7 linked regions of the Kluyveromyces lactis genome follow. The protein of the gene in region 5 interacts with the protein of the main gene of each other region in a biochemical or structural test. Links are inferred from orthologs where the notes say so. Each region holds a gene or a part of one and is shown on either strand. Other genes may lie near its edges. The genes, in order: MCM10, PSF1, CDC28, SLD5, MCM3, PSF2 and ORC2.

Region 1 (3,698 bases), on a different chromosome or scaffold from region 5:
GGCATTGAAAGGTTTAGAGTTGCTAGCCAGCGAATTTTAAGAGAATACAAGCTCGAATCTCGCGTCTCTATTCCCGATATTCTGGAAGGATCTTTTAGTTATTTTGCGTTAATAAATACCACAAATCTGGAGCCAACTTATATGCCATCTCCCGATTCTGATCCATTGGAATCACAACTACATGTATTGGCATACCAGTCTTCTCTGGATAGAGTAGAATTCCAGAAAAGGGTATTTATGGGTTATTCAAATACGAAGCATTCAAACATCTTACAGAATGGAACGTTTTACAGACCACTGCCATTTTGTTTTAACGTCGAAGTACTAGACGATCCGTCACAAAAGAGCAACTTTGAAGTTTGCTGTGATGGGCAACTTCTTAACTTACTAGAGTTAGAGGGAAAGAATACTCCACCATCCACGATAAGAATTGAGACTTGTACGGAGCCATCATTAAAAGTACTACATTCTTTATAATATATTAAACCTTACATTATTGTCTATATAATTTCCAAATCATCACTTGAGCCTTCATCTTTATCGAGCCGCTCTTGGCTGCCTTTCATTATTTCATTGAAGATAGCGTTTCTCTTTTCAATTTTCTCTTTCAATTGTTTCTTCGAAGGTTTCAGGCTAACATTATCTTTCTTTATATTGCAAATATCCGTTATCGCCAGCTGTTTATCATTCTTTGGCGCCTTATTCTCTGTAGAATATTCAAGCATCTCTAAAGACGCTTTCCCTTTTGTTGGGTCATAACCAATTTGGTTCGCTAAACCATGTTGGAACATGCTCAACGTCGCAGTCTTTTTTGCTTCTTGATTGACTCGGTCTTCCTTCTTTGACAACAATTTGTCGGATAGACCCTTTAACTTTTTCTCCAAGTTTCGATTGTTTCTGAGTTCTTGAATTTTGCGTCTTTTGTTATCAAGGTTGGCCAGTATGTCAGGATTTTCGTAGTCGTCATCGAAAAACGCGGTAGAGGCATTTGCAGAACTGAAGAGGAATCTGTTGGTCTCTGCAGCTGCCGGTTCTCGTACAAACGGTTTATCAGGATTTTGTTGATATCTTATGGATGTTTTACCATTATTGTGTTGTGATTTTACAATAGTCTGTTGATATCCTTTGACAACTGGCGCTCTCATTGCCACAGAGCTACTAATTTCAACTCTTCTAGAACTGTTTTGCCTCATTTTTGCCTCTTTATGATATGCACAGTAGTTATCATGCAATTTGTTTATTGGCGCACCACATAGCTTGCCTTTGTTCTTCATGTAAAATTGGCACAATCCGAATTCCTTACTGTGACCTAGTTCCAGTATATTATTGGTGTCTTTACTAACTTTTAACGAAAATGTAGCGTAACTAGGGCTTGCTCCCGCTTCCAGTTTCTTGGAAGGCATTATTTCAGGGTTAAGTATAGCAATCAAATCACCTAATCTTAGTTTGTAATACTTTTCAACTATACTTTTCCCAAAGAAAATAACATTCAGTTCAAATTGGAAATCACTTATGGTTAGGCTGAAGAATTTCACCGGTTTCACAGAATTTGTCATTCTTGGTTCAGTTTTCTTTGAGATGATACCCAATACCAACCAATTGGGATAATCAGGTTCAGAGAACTTAGGGGCTCTCACCTTACTGAAGAGCTTTGGAAGTCGAAGCACTTTTATGTTTTTAGTATGTTTCCTAAGTACGGCCAACGGTACATACCTTCTGTCTATAACCAGACCACTCAAATCATCTTTTTCATCAACAGTAATTGGTTCATATTCATCGAACATGTCGCCATTGAATGTGTAAACTCGATGTGCCAATAATTCTTTCTTCCTTTTAATCGCTTCATGTTCATTTGTATTGATGGAGCGAAGTTTTTCAGTAAAGTAAGAAGTGGTACCCAACTTTTTGACCTTTTCCCTTACATAATCCTCATTAACATTAAATGTAGCTTCCTCTATATCTGCTACTGGCGCAATATGTTTGATATCCTCTATTCCTTTTGTAGCATTATCTGATTTCTTAGGAGACTCTGGAACGTCGATAGAATCGAAATTAGGGTCTTTGAGGTTTCTCTTCTTCTCTAGTTCCAACAGCCGGTTAGTTAAATCTCGTTTCTCAGTGTCAATTTCAACAATTCTTCGTTTCACTTTGATTTAATGATTGGTTATAATATGTTAGTAGGATATTCTAATGTCATTGATCTCGGTAACCATTATTATTAGAACATACCTCTTTCGATTTCAGATTCATCATCAGATAATTCCTCGTACGGGTCGAACGCCGTAATTTCTCTCGGGTCAGTTAGATCATATGACATGATGCATCTTCACTGTTACCTATACTCGATAGCTTCTGTAACTATTCTCGTTCATTCTTTACTTGTGGGATGTCATTATTTTGTTTTCTCGTTTGAATATCTGTGGAAAGTAATACTAGTATTTTTTACATGTTGAAAACGAATGGTCAAATAATGATACATAATAGAAAAAAATTAAATAGAACTTCGGTAATATTAACAGCCATAAAATCGTCTGGAGAATCAGGCTTCCTGACCATCCTCAGTATCACTTTCAGGCTCTTTGTGACGTTTCTCAGGCTGTTCTGTTGCGGTGTCGTCTATGGGTCTCTTATTAGGAGAAATTTCTGACGTTGAGAAGGGACTAGTGAATGTTGAATGAGAGCCAAATACAGGGGCCTGGAATGCTGCACTCATATTAGAAGTGTCATTCTCTACAGGTTTAATTGTGGACTTTTGTTGTTCTAAATTCCTGATCTTGCTTTCCAAAAATTTCAATTTCAAGGAAACTTGCTGTTTCCCTTCTTCGAAAGATTTTTGTTTTATTTCTGCCAAATCTGCTTCAAATTGCTTACGCATGGAATCCTTAAGTGCATTCAATTCTGCACGATGCTTTTCTAGAGTAATGGCATCATTTCCGATCTCTCCTGCCAATTTTTGGGCCTTTTCGTTTACCTTTTCTTCAAAGGACTCTTCTAAAACAGCTTTTCTTGCCTCAACTATTTTATCAATCTTTTGTTGAGTAGGTAACCTGATCCGTTTCTTGAGGGCTTCTTCTGCTAATTTAATTTTTTCCAGAGTCTGCTTCTCATATTCTTTTTCCCATTCATTCTTCAAAGCATCGATGTCTATATCCAAGGTAGGCTGCGAAGGAGACTGGACAGTAGTCTTTTCGCACTCTTCACGAATTCTCTTTTCTCTTTCTTCAAACTGTTTCCGGAGCTCTTCCTCTCTGGAATTCCAAGCAGATTCTTTTTCTGCCTCAAACTTGCTCCTCAATTCTTTTTCTTTATCTTTTATTAATTGTTCTTTTTCAGCTTCAAATTCTGTTTTCAAATTATCCACTATTGACTTCGTGTCTTCGTTGATAACTGGCGTATGATGTTCAGCTACTATTTTTTGAGCGTTGGAGGCTTCGGCTTCAAGCTCCTGTATTTTACTATTTAACATTTCCACAGTCTCAGTCAACGATTTTATTTTTTCATCTGAATCTGCATTATTCTGTTCGGTCTTGGAAGCATTTTCCATTTGAACCTGAATAGAATGTAGATCTTCCTGCAATTTAGATAATTGAGAGTTAAAAGTCTGTTCCTTTGTTTCTGCTTCTTGCGTTACCACTTGTAATCTTTCTTCTAACTCTTTGCAAGCGGTCTTACATTTTCCTAAATCGGCCTCCACTTGA
Region 2 (2,407 bases), on a different chromosome or scaffold from region 5:
TTTTCTGTAAGAGAGGAACAAGTCATTAGGAGAGGTGATAACTGTTGCCATTGAGGGGCACTTCGCGGCAGTGGTACTAAATTAGCAATCCAAAGTTGTAAATAACTCATGACATTGTTCTCAGGGTTAATTTGCTGCAAAAACCAGTTCCATACTTCATTGCTTTTATACTTTTGAGTATAACTTGTCAACTCTGTATTGTTGAGTAATAGTAAACAACAGCTAATCAGTTTTACGACAAATAACTTTTCATCACTAGTAGTGAATGGTAAGAAATCCAGATCATCTTCGAACTTAAGCCCTTCTCCGAGTGTTTTTAATTGATTAACGTGAATGACGGAATTGGAATCATTAAAAGAAGTATTGTGATGTTGAGCATCCAAAATACCTTCATTATTTTCATCATCCTCATCGACATTTGATGCTTCTTCTTGTAGCTCTTCATCACTTTGAAACTCTTTTTTCAATAATGTACGTGTTCTTCCGTATCTCACCTGGCTCACTGCTGAAGTGGAGACCACTTTAAGACATTGAATTTGGCTATAAGTCGATATTACATCGTCGGAGTCTTTCAATGACGAAATCATCGAGGAGATACTGTCAATTGTACTTTGAAACTCATGAATCTCAGAATCATTATCAACAGCTTCTTCAACATCTTTCATATCGTCATTGTCGACTGTTATTCGTTTATGAAGCCTTGTCACTTTACGTTTCTTCTTCATAGATGTCGACCCCATACCATCCAAAATATCGAATGGATCAGCTTCAATTGTCTTTGAATCACGGTTTTCAAATGACTCGTATTTATGAGAGGAAGACACATACTCTTCTCTGACAGGAGCCATGGGAGAAGTCTCATAAGTTCTATCTAAATCTGTTGATAAACTTGTTTCTTCCTCGTCAGTTGAAGTGAAATTGTCCTCATCGCTTAACTCATTGTCTTTTTTATTCAAATGTCGCCTCGCCAAGGCTTGAAATTTCCCATAGTGACCATAAACTCTCGTCTTCATTTATCAGAACCTCCCAATGGGCTTTGTTGGTTTGCTTCCCCTTGTTTTCTTTGTTGTAATTTGTTCGCGTCTAAACAGTATCGTTTCACGTTAAAGTCCTTAAATTTTACGTGTTTTCCTCAAAGCGATTTCAATCTAGAGAAGAGAAAAGCTATGAACAACTTTTACAGAGATAACACAGAGGGAAAAGAACGTGCTAAAAGACCTGGAACTGGATTCAAGTCATTGGTTTTGATTATCATTGCCATAGTACCGAAAATGTACGGAGATCTCGCTAACAAGTTGATACTAGAAGCAAAGAGAACGCAACAGTTATCTCAAGCTGGATTCAACAAACAGCAATTACCAGTATATCAAGACGAGCTAGTCCGTGGCATCCTGAAAGAGGTTGGATCCCTCAAGAAGAACGTGGATTACCTACGAGAACAGCAGCTTACTGATCAGGATAACAAAGTCGCTCAATGCCAGTACGTCGTTGCTATGCTTTCGATGGAAAGAAACAAAAGATGTCTATTAGCATACCAAAAGATGAGAAGTGAGATGCTAGACTCAATGGTTTGGGATAACAACGGGATGGAATTTTCTTCTGCCATATCAAACCACCCGAATCTATCATCGTTTGATTCCTCTGTTTTATCACATGCAGAACAAGAGTATCTCAAAGAGTATGCACAACTACTTACCGAATTGAAATCGGGAGAACTCTCAGAAATCGATTTGACTGGGATGTTACAACCGCCGAGCGATGTGTTCATCGACGTACGAGTATTGAAAGATGCAGGACAAATAGAAACAGAGTACGGTGTATTCAACCTGATTAAAGATTCCCAATTTTTCGTCAGACAATCCGACGTCGAAAGACTTATACAACAAGGATATCTGCAGAAGATATAGCAAGGCAGCTTTTTTCGCCGAATTCTGCACCTTTCATTGCAATTCTGTAGATATCATTGCTGGTGATATTGCTGATGCAACCGTTCCAAATGCAACTAACTAGCTTTACCTCACTTTCACTATGGGGAATGCACGATTTCTTTTTGGATTTCTTTTTCTTGCAGCTCATCGCCTTCAAAAATTTTTCAGTTTTGTATTTAAGGCAACGAGGCATAAGTAACAGAACAGTACTTGATCTGGAACCAACTTGTTAGAACGGTTATTGGTTTGATTGCATTGAGTATAGTGTACAGCTTATTGGGATATAATATTTGTCACCATACATATACCAAGACTTGTGTTTCATCTTTAGTCTAATTGTTGAGCATATCTTTCCTAATTGTAAAGCTAATAAAATAAAGGATGTCCAAGACTGATGTCACTGATTCTGCTACGCAGAAAAAAGAATTGAACGAGTATGAACAACACTATTTCACCTCTTATGACCATTTCGGTATTCA
Region 3 (2,623 bases), on a different chromosome or scaffold from region 5:
AACTATACTTTAATTAGAGAAGTTGCGTCGGGTTTACCTGTAACTGTTTTGATCAATAATGTTGGTAAGTCTCATTCGATTCCAGTACCATTTGATCAAACCGAAGAATCTGAATTGAGAGATATAATTACTATCAACAATACTGCGACATTAATGATCACACAAACTTTGTTACCACAATTAAAAGCAAGCGTTAAGACGTTGAAATGTCGTGGTCTAATCTTGACAATGGGTTCCTTTGGTGGTCTGCTACCTACCCCATTCTTAGCTACATACAGTGGTTCCAAGGCATTTTTACAAAGTTGGTCTAACGCCCTAGCTGGTGAATTATCTAGCGATTCTATCGATGTTGAGTTAGTGTTATCTTACTTAGTTACCAGTGCAATGTCTAAGATTAGAAGATCAAGTGCATTGATCCCTTCTCCAAAGGCTTTCGTGAGATCCACATTGAACTCCATTGGCAAACGCTGTGGTGCCCAAGAGCGTTTTGCAACCTCCACGCCGTATTGGTCTCATGCATTATACCATTTCATTATCGAGAACACCGTCGGTGTGTACTCTAAGATTGCTAATTCAATTAATTATTCCTTCCACTTGAGTATCAGAAAGAGAGCTTTGAAAAAGGCTGAAAGACAAGCCAAGAAGCAATAAAAAGAGTTGTCTCCAAAATATTAGTTTGTTTTGATATAAGGAGCAGGTTTAAATAGATTTGTTGTAGTAACGTTTGATTATTGTGCGATATCCTGACAAAGAAACCATAATTATTGGAACCTGTAGAAGTGTATAAATTTTGTAAGTTTCTGTGTTAAATATTCTGTAACATGAAAGTATACTGAAAAAACCGTTCAGCAATGCCCTATACGTTACAAAATCCCTGCGTTCATCTTACAATTCCAAACCTTTCTTTCTTTTCAATTACACGTAAAGCTCATTATTGACCTTCTGACCTTAAAACGAAGAAAATACAAACACAATTTCGAAGATATTAATATAGTATTAAGGCAACGTTAATCTGTTAGAAAGAAGGCACATACCAGGGTAATATTAGAGCCATAAGCACTGAGTGATAGTTGATTATTTGATTTGACGCATATTTATACGCGAGCACAGCAAATTTTACTTGATCTGAATATACTGCTGCAAAAGAGAACAATCTGTACCTACCTAAAACTTGAAAGTAGTAAAGAAACAGAACAGCAAGGTCGCATCATACAAGAAATCCACCCTATACCAGGATGTCCGAATTAACAAACTACAAGAGACTTGAGAAAGTCGGAGAAGGTACTTATGGTGTTGTTTACAAAGCGGTTGATTTGCGTCACCAGAATCGAGTGGTAGCAATGAAAAAGATCAGATTAGAATCTGAAGACGAAGGTGTTCCCAGTACTGCGATACGTGAGATTTCATTATTGAAGGAACTGAAGGATGACAACATTGTCAGATTATATGACATCGTGCACTCGGACGCGCACAAGTTATATCTAGTGTTCGAATTTTTGGATCTTGATTTGAAAAGATACATGGAATCGATCCCCAAGGACCAGCCATTGGGAGGCAACATTATAAAGAAGTTTATGATGCAATTGTGCAAGGGAATTGCTTATTGCCATGCTCATAGGATCATACATCGTGATTTGAAGCCGCAGAATCTATTGATCAACAGAGATGGGAACTTGAAGTTGGGAGATTTCGGCCTTGCACGTGCATTCGGTGTCCCCTTGAGAGCGTACACCCATGAGATCGTCACTTTATGGTATAGGGCACCAGAAGTGTTATTAGGTGGGAAACAGTACAGTACAGGGGTCGATGTATGGTCCATTGGCTGTATATTTGCCGAGATGTGCAACAGGAAACCGTTATTCAGCGGAGACAGTGAAATTGATCAGATCTTCAAGATATTCCGAGTGTTAGGCACACCAAACGAGAGAACATGGCCGGATATTATTTATCTACCGGATTTCAAGACTACATTCCCTAAATGGAACCGTCGTAATTTATCCGAGGTAATTCCATCGCTAGATGCAAACGGTATCGATCTCTTGGACAAATTGATCACCTACGATCCAATCCACCGCATTAGCGCCAAAAGAGCAGTACAACACCCGTACTTCAAGGAGGAGTGAGAGTGTTGGTGACAGGAGGCGCGTATATTCATGTATATGATATATAATAAAAACAATACCAGTCACGTGTATTCACGTGACTTATATTACCCGGAACTCCACATTCCATTTCTTTTTGTCCCATCCAACAGCCCTTCGAGAGATGCTGCAAACATACCACAAAAACAAAAAAAAAACGGGCCTTGATTTCCTTGCCTGTGCCACAGCAATGCGCCCAAAAAGAAAGAACTAAGAGCAAGAAAAACCGAAGCAAATTGAAACCCGCCCCCCTCCCCTAGGCCTGGGGCTCTTCGTTAACGTTACGCCATTGCTAGTTTGGCTGAACGCAAATCTACCTAGTCACCTATCCTCGACATCCCCTCTCTATCGCTAATATGTCTGTCCATTATTCCGACCGAATCCCTGAAGAAATTAAAGACGAGGCCTGGTAAGAGACAGCTCAATTGACGTAATGTCTCTCAACTCAACCCATACCTTCTCTCTCTCTATTCACATCCCCC
Region 4 (2,642 bases), on a different chromosome or scaffold from region 5:
TGCTGGCCGCCAGGATGCTATGGTCATTGAATTTTGGAATTATAATTGAAAGTACCGGATAGTGATGATAATTAGTGGAAACAATATTTCTTTCCACCTGAAAGCTATTATTTATTTTGACTGTTCGCAGTTCATATAAGATGAGTTTTCCTGTATAGCAAGAAAGAACGACGGAGGTAATCTTAGAATTAGGATTATCAATAAACTTGCTCCGTACAACATTCTGACCTTGGAATAAAACTGTATCAAGTACCTCACCAGAAGAGACGTGTGTGATTTGAACTAAAGAGCTTTTCACGTATTTGGTTACAAGATGAATCACAGTAACCAGTAAATTATCTAAGACGTCACTGGAAATGACCCTTGCTTCAGAAGTTGAATCAATGGCAACTTTTGGTGAAATTGATAAATACATGCTTATTTTCCCATCACCAGCGATTTGATGAGAAGATGACTTGAGCGCAGCCGCTTCTATAGTCTCCTGTAGTGAAAATGTTTCTTTCTTCAACGTTGCGTAGTCTTCCGCTGAAACGACATTTCCGAAATCAAACACATCCTTTTCAACAACTTCTTTATCCTCCTTGGTCTCTGTAATATCTGAAGTCGATGCTTGCTGTTCTATAAGATCTTGGGAAGGTAGATGTCCATCTTCCATAATTTCATGTTTCCCGTCATATTCATCTGTCTGTATTCCGATATCATATGTTATCACAGCCTCCTTAACAGCGCTCAATTCAAACTCATTTACATCATCTGTTTGCACTGAGATCTCAACAGTTTTTACTTCTTTCTTGACTTCAGATTCGTTGTTATTTATGGAATTGGTGATATGGGAAATGAACGGAAGGGTACAATCTGCTATCTCTTCATGTTTCGAATCAATTTTTTTCCTTTGCAGCTGAAGAGCCTCTATTTTCTGCTTCATCAACTGTAAGCGCTCATTCTTGTCCATATTTCTGGGTATATTCCCCCTGAGGTTGGTGTTGCTGATGAGCGCTTCTTCACTGACGCGTTTTATCTTGCTTCATGTATGGATTTGTTAAGCGTAAACAAAAGATGATAAATAAGATTTGAGTATTATCAAAAATACGATGTTACAGTAAGTTGGATGAATTTCACAATAGGTTGGAGGATAACACATTGCAAGTAAGTCCTTCTTGTCTGAATACACCTTTACAGCAATTATAAAAGCCACCCCGGTGTACTATCCGAACACTTCCTCCGCTTTGAGTCCTGGTGGTAGGATCATATTTCTTTAGTACAATGAGCATTGATATTGACGACATTCTAGCTGAGCTGGATAGGGACACTACAGCTGTTGAACAAAATGCTTCTTCATACCCAGACCAAAGCGATCGAACTCAAGGCAATGATGTCTCTCAGATAAGACCAGCAGATAAGGCGGTTGACCCTGTGGCTCCCACACAGTTTAACAAAATTGACGACTATCAAAAGCTAATTACACATTGGAAGAATGAACGTATGAGTCCGGAGCTGCTTCCATATCCACATCATCTCATGACTAGGACATTAATAAGGATTCAAGAAAGAATTGAACTAATAGAAACACTATCAATGGGATACTTAGAAGATAATCAAGAGTTAACTGTCGATTCAAAGCTACCACTTTTATGCATGGAAGCAGAACTTGAGAGATTGAAGTTCCTAGTTCGATCTTTCATCAGATGCCGGTTAAGCAAAATTGACAAATACAGCATTTACCTAAGACAACAATCCGAACTACCCAATAATGCGGGCCTCAGCAGACTAGATTTATTGATGTCCAAAGAAGAGGTGAAGTACCATATGAAGCATTCTGACATATTACTAAAACTGTTTAACAACGCAGTACTTAAGCACTTACCAGAAGAACTGCAAGCCGTTAACGATACTGAGGGTTCCATCAGTATGATTGATGAACCCGATTGGAATAAAACTGTATTTATACTAGTTTGTGGTGGGGTAGTTGACGAAAGTGGTATTGATTCGAAATTAACGACCGATGATGATGGAAAACACTGTTACTCAGTGATTATTGAAGATTTAAATGAAGAAATTTACTTATTAATCGGGGCAGTATACGTAATACGTTATAGTGTAATACGAGATCTCATGACTGAGGGACGAGTAGTTTTAATATAATGAAAATTCTGAACAGTATTACTGAACCTATGACTCTTCGAAAAATATAGGTTTGTAACGAATGTTTGCCAGCAATAATTTCTCAACAATGTTATTGCGAACACAGCATGTTTTCTACCTAGTGTTATTGACTGCTGGTCTATAGTGCTTTTGAACCAATTTGTATTAGTATTACATCAATTAACGTTGAAAAGTCTATCTAGCATACTCAAAGTGTACCTATTTTTCATATTTACTGTATGCAAAACCCATCCGGCAAGCATATGATCAGCTCAGAGAAATCCTTCAATATCTGGTTTCTGGGCTTGGGCAAGCTTAGCCCTTTTGGTTGTCTGCGGTTGAGATTGAGATAACGACACTGAATGTATTCTTTTCAATCCTGTAGTCGAGTTCATCTCAACGACAGAATCTAATTCCTCGATATTTTGCGAGTTGGCATCTATGTTACTGGAAGAGGACTGGTTTATATTAGATTTGGCATGTTGTGATGATCTAGACTT
Region 5 (4,071 bases):
ATGAAAAAGACTTGAAATATGATTCCTTTTTTATCCTTGCATGTTTTCACTTGTCCATCTTTCTGTGTTTCCACAAAAGTCGTTTTCCTTCCTGGAACGGTTTTGGTTGCTACTCCCGGTGTTCTTTAGTACGCTATCTAATTCCCCATTTTTTTTCGTCTACTGTTAAGCATCCAATTATATATATTAACTTATATGATATTCTGGGTGTTTTACGTGGGTTTTCAGCAATGGGATGGATTTTGAGTTATAATTGTTGGTTGGAGAACAAGAAACTGTTTTTTCTTTTCTGGAAAACACTCAATCGCTCCTTTCCTTGTCAAGCGTCATTGATGGAAATACTATCAGATACGTTATTCTTTATCACTTTCTCCTTTTAAATCAGCTTTTTTCTCTCTATTCCAGTAATTTTTTTTTTCACTCAATTAAATATCATTATATCCTTAATTCTATTTCTTATATATTTAAATCTTCTTTAACGCTTCCGTTTGTCGTTTTACATTGTCATTGAACCCTGTTAATATGGGGTGTGTGTACTCTTCCGCACTTGCAGACTGCCAGTTACTAAACGGTTGGGAAACCATCCTTGTTTTATTTTTTCAAATTTTGGCTCATCGTCGATAACTTTCAATATCAAAAGCTCAATTGTAGGCAAATATGATTTCGTTAGATTACTTTCTTTAATACCATCTAATGTCCATACTAGGTTCAGAACGTTGGCAAGGGTCTGTAGTTTCTTCTTGCACTGTGAAGCGCGGTATAGTATTTATTATTTACCAATTCACAATATAATGAGTGACATCTTCTGGATCATGTGATATGAACCTAACATCATTTTATCATATAACATGGCAACATGGCCGAGCGGTTAAGGCGAAAGATTAGAAATCTTTTGGGCTCTGCCCGCGCAGGTTCGAGTCCTGCTGTTGTCGTTATTTTTAACCCCTTCTTCCTTTATTTTTTGACGCGTTGCCATTTCTCATTACCCGGAAAATTATTCCTCTTTCTTTTCCAAAAACGGAAAAGATATTGACGAAAACATCAAATCTCATTTCTCTTTGCCGTATTCTGTTGGTAAAATACAGCTGAAACTCGATTCTGACAAAAATAAACTAGAAGAACCATATCAAGAACGTTTCTATCCCAGAACAGCACTGGTGCCAATGAAACATTAATTTTTAGCACCTTCATTTTAATAATATTATTGCATTTATCGCTCCCTGTTTAAAGGACTTTGCTACTGAAAAACACCATAAGTACCGAATTCAATCATGAGTGATGCTATGAATCAAACAAGTGATGCTGTCTTTACAGACAGAATGCGAAGGTTTCAAGAGTTTTTGGATACCCATTCGCATTATACTCGAGAAATAAGATCAATACTCGAGTTTAACAGCAACGTAGTGAAAGAGAAAAAGACGGATGATGATTATTTAAATACTGCAGACAAAGATACGATGGACCATGACACTAATCAATTGCCATTGAGAATAACAGTATCACTTGACGATTTAAGAGAATTTGACAAAACATTTTGGACTGGACTTTTACAAGTACCCTCGTTCTTTTTACCACCAGCGGAGCGTGCTGTTTCGGAGACTGCAATGGCCTTAGATGATAGCCCTCTCGGGTTTCGCGGATTCCAAAATGATCCCAGCAGACAATGGAGACTGTCATTCAAGGGTTCTTTCGGTCCGAATTCTTTATCACCACGTACCTTAAACTCAACACATTTGAATAAATTGATCTCAGTAGAGGGGATTGTAACGAGAACCTCACTTGTGAGGCCAAAACTTCTCAGATCCGTGCATTATGCCCAAACCACAGGCCATCATCATTACCGTGATTATCGTGATGCGACTACAACATTAACCACATCCGTACCAACACCAGCTATTTATCCAGAGGAGGATCAAGAAGGTAATAAGCTGGTCACAGAGTATGGATTTTGTCATTACATGGATCACCAGCGAATCACCGTTCAAGAAATGCCCGAAAAGGCCCCTCCTGGTCAATTACCAAGATCCATTGACGTTATCTTGGATGATGACTTAGTGGATAAGACAAAACCAGGTGATAGAATTAATATTGTTGGTGTATACAAGTCATTAGGTGCAGGTGGTCTAACAGGTGGTTCTAATAACAACGACAAGGGTAACGGTGCTTTATCTGGTTTCAGAACTGTTGTAATTGGTAACACAGTGTACCCTCTACATGCCAGGTCTACAGGTGTGTCCGCCGTTGAAACGCTATCAGATAATGATATTAGAAATATCAATAAGCTATCAATGCATGATAATATTTTCGACACTTTGTCCCAGTCGTTAGCACCATCCATCTATGGCCATGAACACATTAAGAAAGCCATCCTATTAATGCTTATGGGTGGTGTGGAAAAAAATTTACCCAACGGTTCACATCTAAGAGGTGACATAAATATCCTTATGGTTGGTGATCCATCCACCGCTAAATCTCAAATGCTTAGATTTGTGTTGAACACAGCAGCATTAGCTATTGCCACTACGGGTAGAGGTTCCTCTGGTGTCGGTTTGACAGCAGCCGTCACTACTGATAAAGAAACTGGTGAAAGAAGATTAGAAGCAGGTGCGATGGTGTTGGCAGATCGTGGTATCGTTTGTATCGATGAGTTTGACAAGATGTCCGACGTAGATAGAGTTGCTATCCATGAAGTTATGGAACAACAAACAGTAACAATCGCAAAGGCTGGTATACATACAACATTGAATGCTCGTTGTTCAGTTATCGCAGCTGCAAACCCTGTTTTCGGTCAATATGACGTTAACAAAGATCCACATAAAAATATTGCCCTACCGGATTCTCTATTATCTCGTTTCGATTTACTATTTGTGGTTACGGATGATATCAACGACATCAGAGATAGAGCTATCAGTGAACATGTCTTGAGAACACATAGGTACTTACCTCCTGGATATTTGGAAGGTGAACCTGTTAGAGAGCAAATAAATCTATCATTGGCTGTTGGTGAAGATATCGAAAACGAGGAAGAAGATGATGATGAGGACGTAGTTTTCGAAAAATTCAATCCACTTCTACACGCCGGTGCGAAGCTTGCAAAGAACAGAGGTGATAGCAATGGTAGCGAGCTTCCTCAAATTGTTGCGATACCCTTCATCAGAAAATACATTCAGTATGCAAAAGAGAGAATTATTCCTCAATTGACTCAAGAAGCTGTAGACGTTATCATCAAATCATATTCAAATCTAAGAAACGATCAGAACACCAAGAAATCCCCTATCACGGCAAGAACTCTAGAAACTTTAATCAGATTATCCAGTGCTCATGCCAAGGTAAGGCTTTCAAAGAAAGTAGAACTAGAAGATGCAAAGGTAGCAACACAATTACTAAGATTTGCATTACTAGGTGAGGACGGAGCCAACTTCGACGAACAGGAATTTGCCGAAGGCAGAACAACCGAAAAATCTCCAAGAAAGAAGCCAAGAGCTTCTCCAAGGAAGAAGAGAGGGGCCGTTTACAAAGAAGTTGACTCAGAGGATGCAGAAGAGGACCAGGAAATGGCAGAGACTCAACCGGATCCTGCTGACGGTCTGGAATCTACGATGGTACGGTTAGCACCAGAACAAGAGGAAGACCTTCAAAGAAGACTAGAACAAAACTTGAGAGTGAGTCCGAGACGCCAACTATCAGTCGAAAGAAGAGTACTTTCACAAAGCGACCATCAACAACAGGTTCTCCACCACTCCTCGCAATCCTCAACTGGACCCCTTGAAACTGGCTCTCAATTGGAACCGTCTCATATGACCCTTGATTTTATGTCCATCGAAGAGATGGACCAGGGTTCAATCTCAACCGGTAGGTTATCGTCACTCTCAGGTATTGTTGCAAGACTCATGCAATCAGACATTTTCGAGGAAGAATCGTATCCTGTCGCCGCACTTTTCGAAAGAATTAACGAGCAAGTTCCAGAAGAGGAAAAATTCACTGTTGATGAATACGTTGCTGGTCTAAGGATTATGAGCGATAGAAACAATTTAATGGTCGCGGATGGCAAAGTATGGAGAGTATAATCTT
Region 6 (2,268 bases), on a different chromosome or scaffold from region 5:
TAGCCCAGTAGACGAATGTGGTAGAACTGATAGCGTTTTATTCATGATTTCAAGGTCTTCCATATGACATTTCAGTTGATCGCTGTTACTAAGAATCTTATCCTGATTCAAAAATAATTGTAGAGATTCTACCAAATTCTTCTCAGTATTATCCACTTGAATAGATTCTAGTTTCTCCAATTGATTTTGATAACTGTTTCTCAATTCTCGATATTCTTGTGACAAATTTACAAAGACATGGCTGTTTGTATGTCTTTCCACAGACGGCAATCCACCATACTTGCTGATAAGGAACACCTTGTCGATATTTATGGGCAAGTTACTCACTAGAGATGATAAGAATCGAGATGGATCGCCAGCCAATTTCTTAAAAGCTTCCTTCTCATGGTACTGATATGGCTCAATAATCGGAATAATATGCGGGTTCAAAATCGGAAGTTTTACGTCAATTGAGCCACGTTCACCGATGGTAATGGGATCTAATACGATTATTGACTTCAGACTCTGATCATGCAAATGATTGTCCAAACGCTGACTTTGGTATGATATGTCTTGGCATAGCGGGTCTACTATTAAAATTGGTCTTAGTCCGAGTGTTTGAATTCTTGACACAGTCTTGCTAAACCCACTAAGTACGTTATCTGAATATTCGGACAAATGTCTCAAAAATACAAGACAGTAGTGATGATTATTCTCATCGGTATATTTGTTCAAATAGTCTTTCGCTTCCCTTTTAGTCACTGTAGAATTCAAAACGCTCATAACCAAACTCCTGCCATGAGCATTAGGTTGATGGTATCTGACCTCTGTGGTCAAACACCTAATCCATGTTTTGATCATAGCACTAGCCCACAAAATGTGCCTTTGGACGTTATATGATGAGATCAAACCATTTATCTGCAAATATGGAAAGTGTATAAAACCATCATTTATTCTAGTTTTATCAATGAGTCAAGTCATCAGAGAAAACTGCCAGTTTAAAGCTTTAGTTAGTCTTTCCTGTTTTTGTTTTTCCTGTGCTGGATTTCAATGTCAAGATTGAACATGGAAAAATAATTGAAGCACAGATATCGATTGGTCATAGTCGCGCATTGAAAGCACTATGTAAGGAAGTAGTGAGCTTGAGGACACTATAGATTAGCAACTCCAACCTGAAATAGAGATGGCACTACCGAGAGATCTATCAATAGGATTTTCTCCCCAAGAGATACAGTTTTTAATTGAAAATGAACCGACACGAATTATGCCCAGAATCACTACGAGGAAGACCAAAAAACAGCTCGCGAAGGATCCTGGCGCCCAATGGTCACTGATCACATGCGATGATTCTACGGTAAATAACATGGTTGCAATGAATAGTTGCGAAGTCACGTTATGGCTGGCTTTACTGTTAAAACAACAGGGAAAGTGTAACGTCGTGGTACCCAGTTGGCTGACGTTACAACAGCTGGAGAAGTATTTAGATTTTGAATTGAAAAACCCATCACGATTCTCCAATCTACCCTGGAATTGGCTAGTGGTATCGTCACTGCTGTTTGCCAGATGCAGCGATGATTTTCAGGATCCAGTTCATCTACTGAGATCTAAGGTCCAAGATCTGCGAGAAGTTCGTTTGGGAAAAGTCAACAAGGGTTTGCAGTACCTGAACGAATCGCATTTACAGCTAGAGAACTTGTCCTTGATGGAAATCAATGAGATGAGACCCTATGCGTGTGGTATCATGGACAAACTGAGGACAATTCATGACTCCAGTAATGACACCACGTGATCAATAATATAATAACCTTTTCCCATTGAATCCAAAATTCCATTCACGAGGTTTCCACCAGTCCCTCCCCTTAATCCAACCTACATGGTTATATGATAACACAGTTGACCATAATCACTAGAAAAGGTCGGGTTACCATGTAAGTACAGGCCTATCAAATAACACATATATTACATACCCTACATGTACCCGCTTCACAGTTTGTAGTAATTCGAAACAACTGATCCATCCCGAACATTCACGCACTGCTTAGTTCTTATTTACGTTTGTGTCGCAAACATGCCTCGCGGGCATGCCTTGCGTGTGCACCCCACGTTCTTGCTTCATCATATTTGTTGTTCTTCAGGCTATTTCGGTTCCTTGCATTGAACTACGGGTATAACTTACAGAAAACGACACAAGGGGGGAACACAAACACGGAAACGAATCACGTTTCTTCAATATTACGTTGGGAAAAGAATTTACCGTAGATAGAAAACAATAACAGTAGAAATTGAGCA
Region 7 (3,721 bases), on a different chromosome or scaffold from region 5:
CCTCGAAATCATCAAAAGAAGAAAGGATATGCCTTACACTGAAGAAGAAAGACAATGGCAACAAATTAGACGTGGCAGATACGTTGAATTCAACCTAGTCCTTGACAGAGGTACTCAATTCGGTTTAAGAACTCCAGGATCCCGTGTCGAAAGTATTTTGATGTCTTTGCCTGTGACTGCTTCGTGGTTGTATGACCATCATCCTGAAGTAGACTCTAGAGAAGATAAATTACTCCAAGTATTGAAGAACCCTGTTGAATGGGTTTGAATGCCTTTATTTATGTAACGTCTCATGTATTTAATTCTTAGTTTCTAATGATCTTAATTTCTTACGCTTCAAAAACCAAGTCGGTCGTTAGTACCATACAGCGTTGCACGAAATGGTTCTGTCAGGCCGTCGACAATACTTTTATTTTGTCTTGTTCAATCTATTTGTAGATTTATACATTATATTACACTTTGATTCAGAAGAAGTTTCATCAAACCCTAACAACTTCCTTTTGCGAGCCTAATGAAAGCGTGATCTACCTTTCATCATTTGAAAGATTAAGCATGCGTTTTTAGCTGGGCGAGAGACAAATGGCAGCGATTAAAGCCGAACATTTATCTTCTTGTCAGTTTTTTGCTCTAAGCGATGTAATAACTGCTAAGAAGATCTATAATATTTTGTTTGATGCGTATCGAAATCAAAGTAAATTTCAAAAATACACAATCTCTAGTTCTCTCTCCATTTATGACCACAGTTAACACATTTGTAGAAAGTTGTCATAGGTTCATCTGCAGATCTGATTTGCAACTGGAAGAAGTAAGCTCTTTCACCCGCACATTGGTCATGGTTCGGACATTGTGCTGCTGTCTGGTCAACATTATCCCATGCACCTTCTCCACCTAAGACATCATCAACTTCTTTCCTAGGGAGGTTCTTTCTATCGTATACCTCTATCCCATCAATTAAAAACTGGTATGGGCATGATCCGCATGCTAGTTTATACAGACCTGAATCAGCTTTTGATACCAACAACATGTTATTGCATAATGGGCAAAACGAAAGCATCCTACAACTTAATTCTCAATGTCAGACTCCTCAAACACGATACGTTAACGCACCGTTACCTGCCCATAAGCTCCTTCAACACGTTATCGCATACACTCTAAAATGAACCTCATCGCTATAATTATTGAGAGTAGGTTTTAATTCTTTCCTCATCTCATATAGAAATTTTTCAGAAAAAAAAAAGTAGAGCTTCATGCCTTTAACTTTGAATCGATATTTATGTTGACATTTAAGGTTTGTATGTCAAATATAGTGTATAGGGTTAATACCTGTGGGCGAGGTTTGATAGAAGAACAACTCCCACATTTATAAGTTAGTTTCCATTCTCTAGACTTTAGAGTATTTGATTATCTTGGAGCGGTTAAACCTTGAAAACATGACGAAGAAAGAGTGCAGTGATAATGAGGAAGAAGAAGAAGACATTGATATTGTAAATCACCAAGACATTTTCATATCACCTTCCAAAGTAAGATATCAGTCACCGAAGAAACTTAAAAGTTTTGATTTTCTTTCGCCTTCCAAAACGGTACGACCTAAGTCACCCAAACGATCGCTCACATTAGAGTCTGTTAGCATTGAGACTGAATATAAAGATGAAGAGAGTAGGAAGCACTCATCGACAGATACTGCAACTCCCAGGCGAAGGCAAAGGAAAACAACCAAGAGGGTGAAGTTGGAGGAAGATGATGCCATTGACTATGTGTCAGATACTAATGAATTGATACACAATGACGACGAATACGAGGATCTAAAAATTAAAATAGATTCTAATGAAAGCTCACCTAATAAGTCGCCTAGGAGAAAACTTACATTTAATGCAGAACCATCACCCCAAAGAAAGACTACCAGAAATACAGTTCAAAGGAATAAAATTATAGACGATGATCTTGCATACGACGATATCCAGCAGTATAAGCATCTGAAATTGAACTTGAACCCTAATTTCAAACCGACTAAGTTGCCAAAGAGCGATAATAATGACCAAACATCTGATGAACAATCTCAAATATATTTTTTCGATGGTTTCGAAGGTTTCATAGATCAGACCAAGATCCTAAAAACTGATAAAAGATCCAAGAACTCGATGTCCTCGGCACCAAGTATTTCCAGAGATGAATATAACATTCTTTCTCAACTTTCCAATGATATATTCCATCGTTCATCGACAAAGGCAGTACAAAAAATACATGAAACACTCTTTCAGCAGTTTACTTTCGAGTTACTGCAGGGATTTACGTTATTATTCTATGGTATCGGATCGAAGAAGAAATTCCTCGAATCATTTGCATTCAACTTTCTTTCTATGAAGATCGCCTTGTTGCAAAACCCGGATATTCAAAAAGATGATCCATGTATACCGGTTTTTGTAATGAACGGGTACACCACTCTCTCTAAGAACATCTTTTTGGATATATTCAAAATCTTAGTAGAGGGCGAGACTATTGATGATCAAGGTCAATCAAATTATTGGGATAATCGAATTGACTTGCAAATGGACAGGCTTTCAAAATATTTCAAGAAAAGACCTCCTACGGTGAAGATGATTCTTTTGATACATAACTTGGACGGTCCGTCATTCCGGAGAGAACATTTTCAAACCAGAATGAGTATTCTTGCACAAATCAAACAAATCTGTGTCGTAGCAAGTGTCGACCATATACAAGCTCCTTTCCTTTGGGATCATTTCAGAGCTCAATCATTCAACTTTGTTTACCACGATATCACAAATTTTGAGCCGTACATCGTAGAAACAGTACAAACCGATAATGCTATCGACTTTTCCAAAGATTCAGGTACCTTGTTTAATGCGAACGGTGCTAAATACGTACTAGAATCCCTGACGGACAATTCTAAAAGAATGTACAAAATTCTTCTTCAACTTCTAATGGGACAGATTAATGCCAAGAACGAGTCAAAGCCTCGTGCAAAATCTAGTTCCTTAAACAAAATCACACCTGGGATTGAGTTCTCTGAACTTTTTAAAACATGCACCGAACAGTTCGTAGTCTCGAGCGAAATGGGTCTTCGAACCATCCTATCAGAGTTCATTGATCATAAGATGGCTGTCAATACGAAAAATAAAATGGGTAAAGAGATCATAAATGTTAAATATAGCTATGGAGACATGGAAAAAATGATAACTGAGATAGATTCCATGCTGCAATAAATAATCCTTATTTAAATTCACCATACATATTTATATTTATACTCTAGCGTTCTGATCTCATTTGGCTTTACCATACCGTCCACCAGGGTTCATTTCTTTTACATTTCCTATGCTGAATCAGTTCTGCTTCCGAAAATCACTGAAAAATAAGTTTTCGATAAAGATTACTATTTTAATGAACTTAAGGTTATATGGTTAAGAAGAAAAGGGAGAATTCGATAAAGAAGAGTATCGTATACACTAACAGCAAGTGTTGGAAGCACTGTTGGTAGTGGTATTTAATTCAGCAGTCCGCTAAATATTGTGATGAGCAAATCAGACACTATATCCAGACCGAATTCGGTGGCACATACTGCGGCGACCTCTGCTATGATTCCGAATTCGCATCTGTTGAGTCCCAACACTCAGGTTGTTGTTGGCACTCATAGGTGTGAAATTTTGGAGCATTTAGCTGAGGGTGGGTTCGCAAATATATACAAGGTAAAATTCTTGGAATTGAC

The links.
Region 1: the proteins of MCM3 (region 5) and MCM10 form a complex in vitro, tested with the Saccharomyces cerevisiae proteins (2 studies listed by BioGRID). The link is inferred for Kluyveromyces lactis from reciprocal best matches to the Saccharomyces cerevisiae genes MCM3 and MCM10.
Region 2: the proteins of MCM3 (region 5) and PSF1 form a complex in vitro, tested with the Saccharomyces cerevisiae proteins (4 studies listed by BioGRID). The link is inferred for Kluyveromyces lactis from reciprocal best matches to the Saccharomyces cerevisiae genes MCM3 and PSF1.
Region 3: of the proteins of MCM3 (region 5) and CDC28, one has a biochemical effect on the other in vitro, tested with the Saccharomyces cerevisiae proteins (3 studies listed by BioGRID). The link is inferred for Kluyveromyces lactis from reciprocal best matches to the Saccharomyces cerevisiae genes MCM3 and CDC28.
Region 4: the proteins of MCM3 (region 5) and SLD5 form a complex in vitro, tested with the Saccharomyces cerevisiae proteins (3 studies listed by BioGRID). The link is inferred for Kluyveromyces lactis from reciprocal best matches to the Saccharomyces cerevisiae genes MCM3 and SLD5.
Region 6: the proteins of MCM3 (region 5) and PSF2 form a complex in vitro, tested with the Saccharomyces cerevisiae proteins (4 studies listed by BioGRID). The link is inferred for Kluyveromyces lactis from reciprocal best matches to the Saccharomyces cerevisiae genes MCM3 and PSF2.
Region 7: the proteins of MCM3 (region 5) and ORC2 form a complex in vitro, tested with the Saccharomyces cerevisiae proteins (2 studies listed by BioGRID). The link is inferred for Kluyveromyces lactis from reciprocal best matches to the Saccharomyces cerevisiae genes MCM3 and ORC2.

The regions. Positions count from the first base shown.
Region 1 is NC_006037.1:50,765-54,462, forward strand, and holds MCM10 (Mcm10p), read right to left. Parts: upstream 2,318-3,698; coding exon 2,230-2,317; intron 2,147-2,229; coding exon 501-2,146; downstream 1-500. Other genes in the region: KLLA0_A00550g (uncharacterized protein), read left to right, coding at 1-477; MLP2 (Mlp2p), read right to left, coding at 2,540-3,698. UniProt on the Saccharomyces cerevisiae protein: Required for DNA synthesis. Required for entry into or completion of S phase. Involved in DNA replication and seems to participate in the activation of the pre-replication complex (pre-RC) and in transcription elongation.
Region 2 is NC_006038.1:616,059-618,465, forward strand, and holds PSF1 (DNA replication protein PSF1), read left to right. Parts: upstream 1-1,271; coding exon 1,272-1,907; downstream 1,908-2,407. Other genes in the region: RAD61 (Rad61p), read right to left, coding at 1-1,013; protein-arginine omega-N methyltransferase HMT1, read left to right, coding at 2,310-2,407. UniProt on the Saccharomyces cerevisiae protein: Required for DNA replication. Functions as part of the GINS complex which plays an essential role in the initiation of DNA replication by binding to DNA replication origins and facilitating the assembly of the DNA replication machinery.
Region 3 is NC_006038.1:854,827-857,449, reverse strand, and holds CDC28 (cyclin-dependent serine/threonine-protein kinase CDC28), read left to right. Parts: upstream 1-1,235; coding exon 1,236-2,123; downstream 2,124-2,623. Other genes in the region: IFA38 (ketoreductase), read left to right, coding at 1-651. UniProt on the Saccharomyces cerevisiae protein: Cyclin-dependent kinase that acts as a master regulator of the mitotic and meiotic cell cycles. Required to drive the G1-S transition. More than 200 substrates have been identified. Substrate specificity is in part regulated by the bound cyclin protein.
Region 4 is NC_006042.1:1,023,715-1,026,356, forward strand, and holds SLD5 (DNA replication protein SLD5), read left to right. Parts: upstream 1-1,263; coding exon 1,264-2,142; downstream 2,143-2,642. Other genes in the region: PAC11 (dynein intermediate chain), read right to left, coding at 1-952; serine/threonine/tyrosine protein kinase RAD53, read right to left, coding at 2,415-2,642. UniProt on the Saccharomyces cerevisiae protein: Required for DNA replication. Functions as part of the GINS complex which plays an essential role in the initiation of DNA replication by binding to DNA replication origins and facilitating the assembly of the DNA replication machinery.
Region 5 is NC_006041.1:1,980,004-1,984,074, forward strand, and holds MCM3 (MCM DNA helicase complex subunit MCM3), read left to right. Parts: upstream 1-1,271; coding exon 1,272-4,067; downstream 4,068-4,071. UniProt on the Saccharomyces cerevisiae protein: Acts as a component of the MCM2-7 complex (MCM complex) which is the putative replicative helicase essential for 'once per cell cycle' DNA replication initiation and elongation in eukaryotic cells.
Region 6 is NC_006040.1:558,098-560,365, reverse strand, and holds PSF2 (DNA replication protein PSF2), read left to right. Parts: upstream 1-1,162; coding exon 1,163-1,768; downstream 1,769-2,268. Other genes in the region: ARG2 (acetyl-CoA:L-glutamate N-acetyltransferase), read right to left, coding at 1-840. UniProt on the Saccharomyces cerevisiae protein: Functions as part of the GINS complex which plays an essential role in the initiation of DNA replication by binding to DNA replication origins and facilitating the assembly of the DNA replication machinery.
Region 7 is NC_006042.1:1,707,604-1,711,324, forward strand, and holds ORC2 (origin recognition complex subunit 2), read left to right. Parts: upstream 1-1,430; coding exon 1,431-3,221; downstream 3,222-3,721. Other genes in the region: HEM13 (coproporphyrinogen oxidase), read left to right, coding at 1-268; DNA-directed RNA polymerase III core subunit RPC11, read right to left, coding at 716-1,054; serine/threonine protein kinase AKL1, read left to right, coding at 3,528-3,721. UniProt on the Saccharomyces cerevisiae protein: Component of the origin recognition complex (ORC) that binds origins of replication. It has a role in both chromosomal replication and mating type transcriptional silencing. Binds to the ARS consensus sequence (ACS) of origins of replication.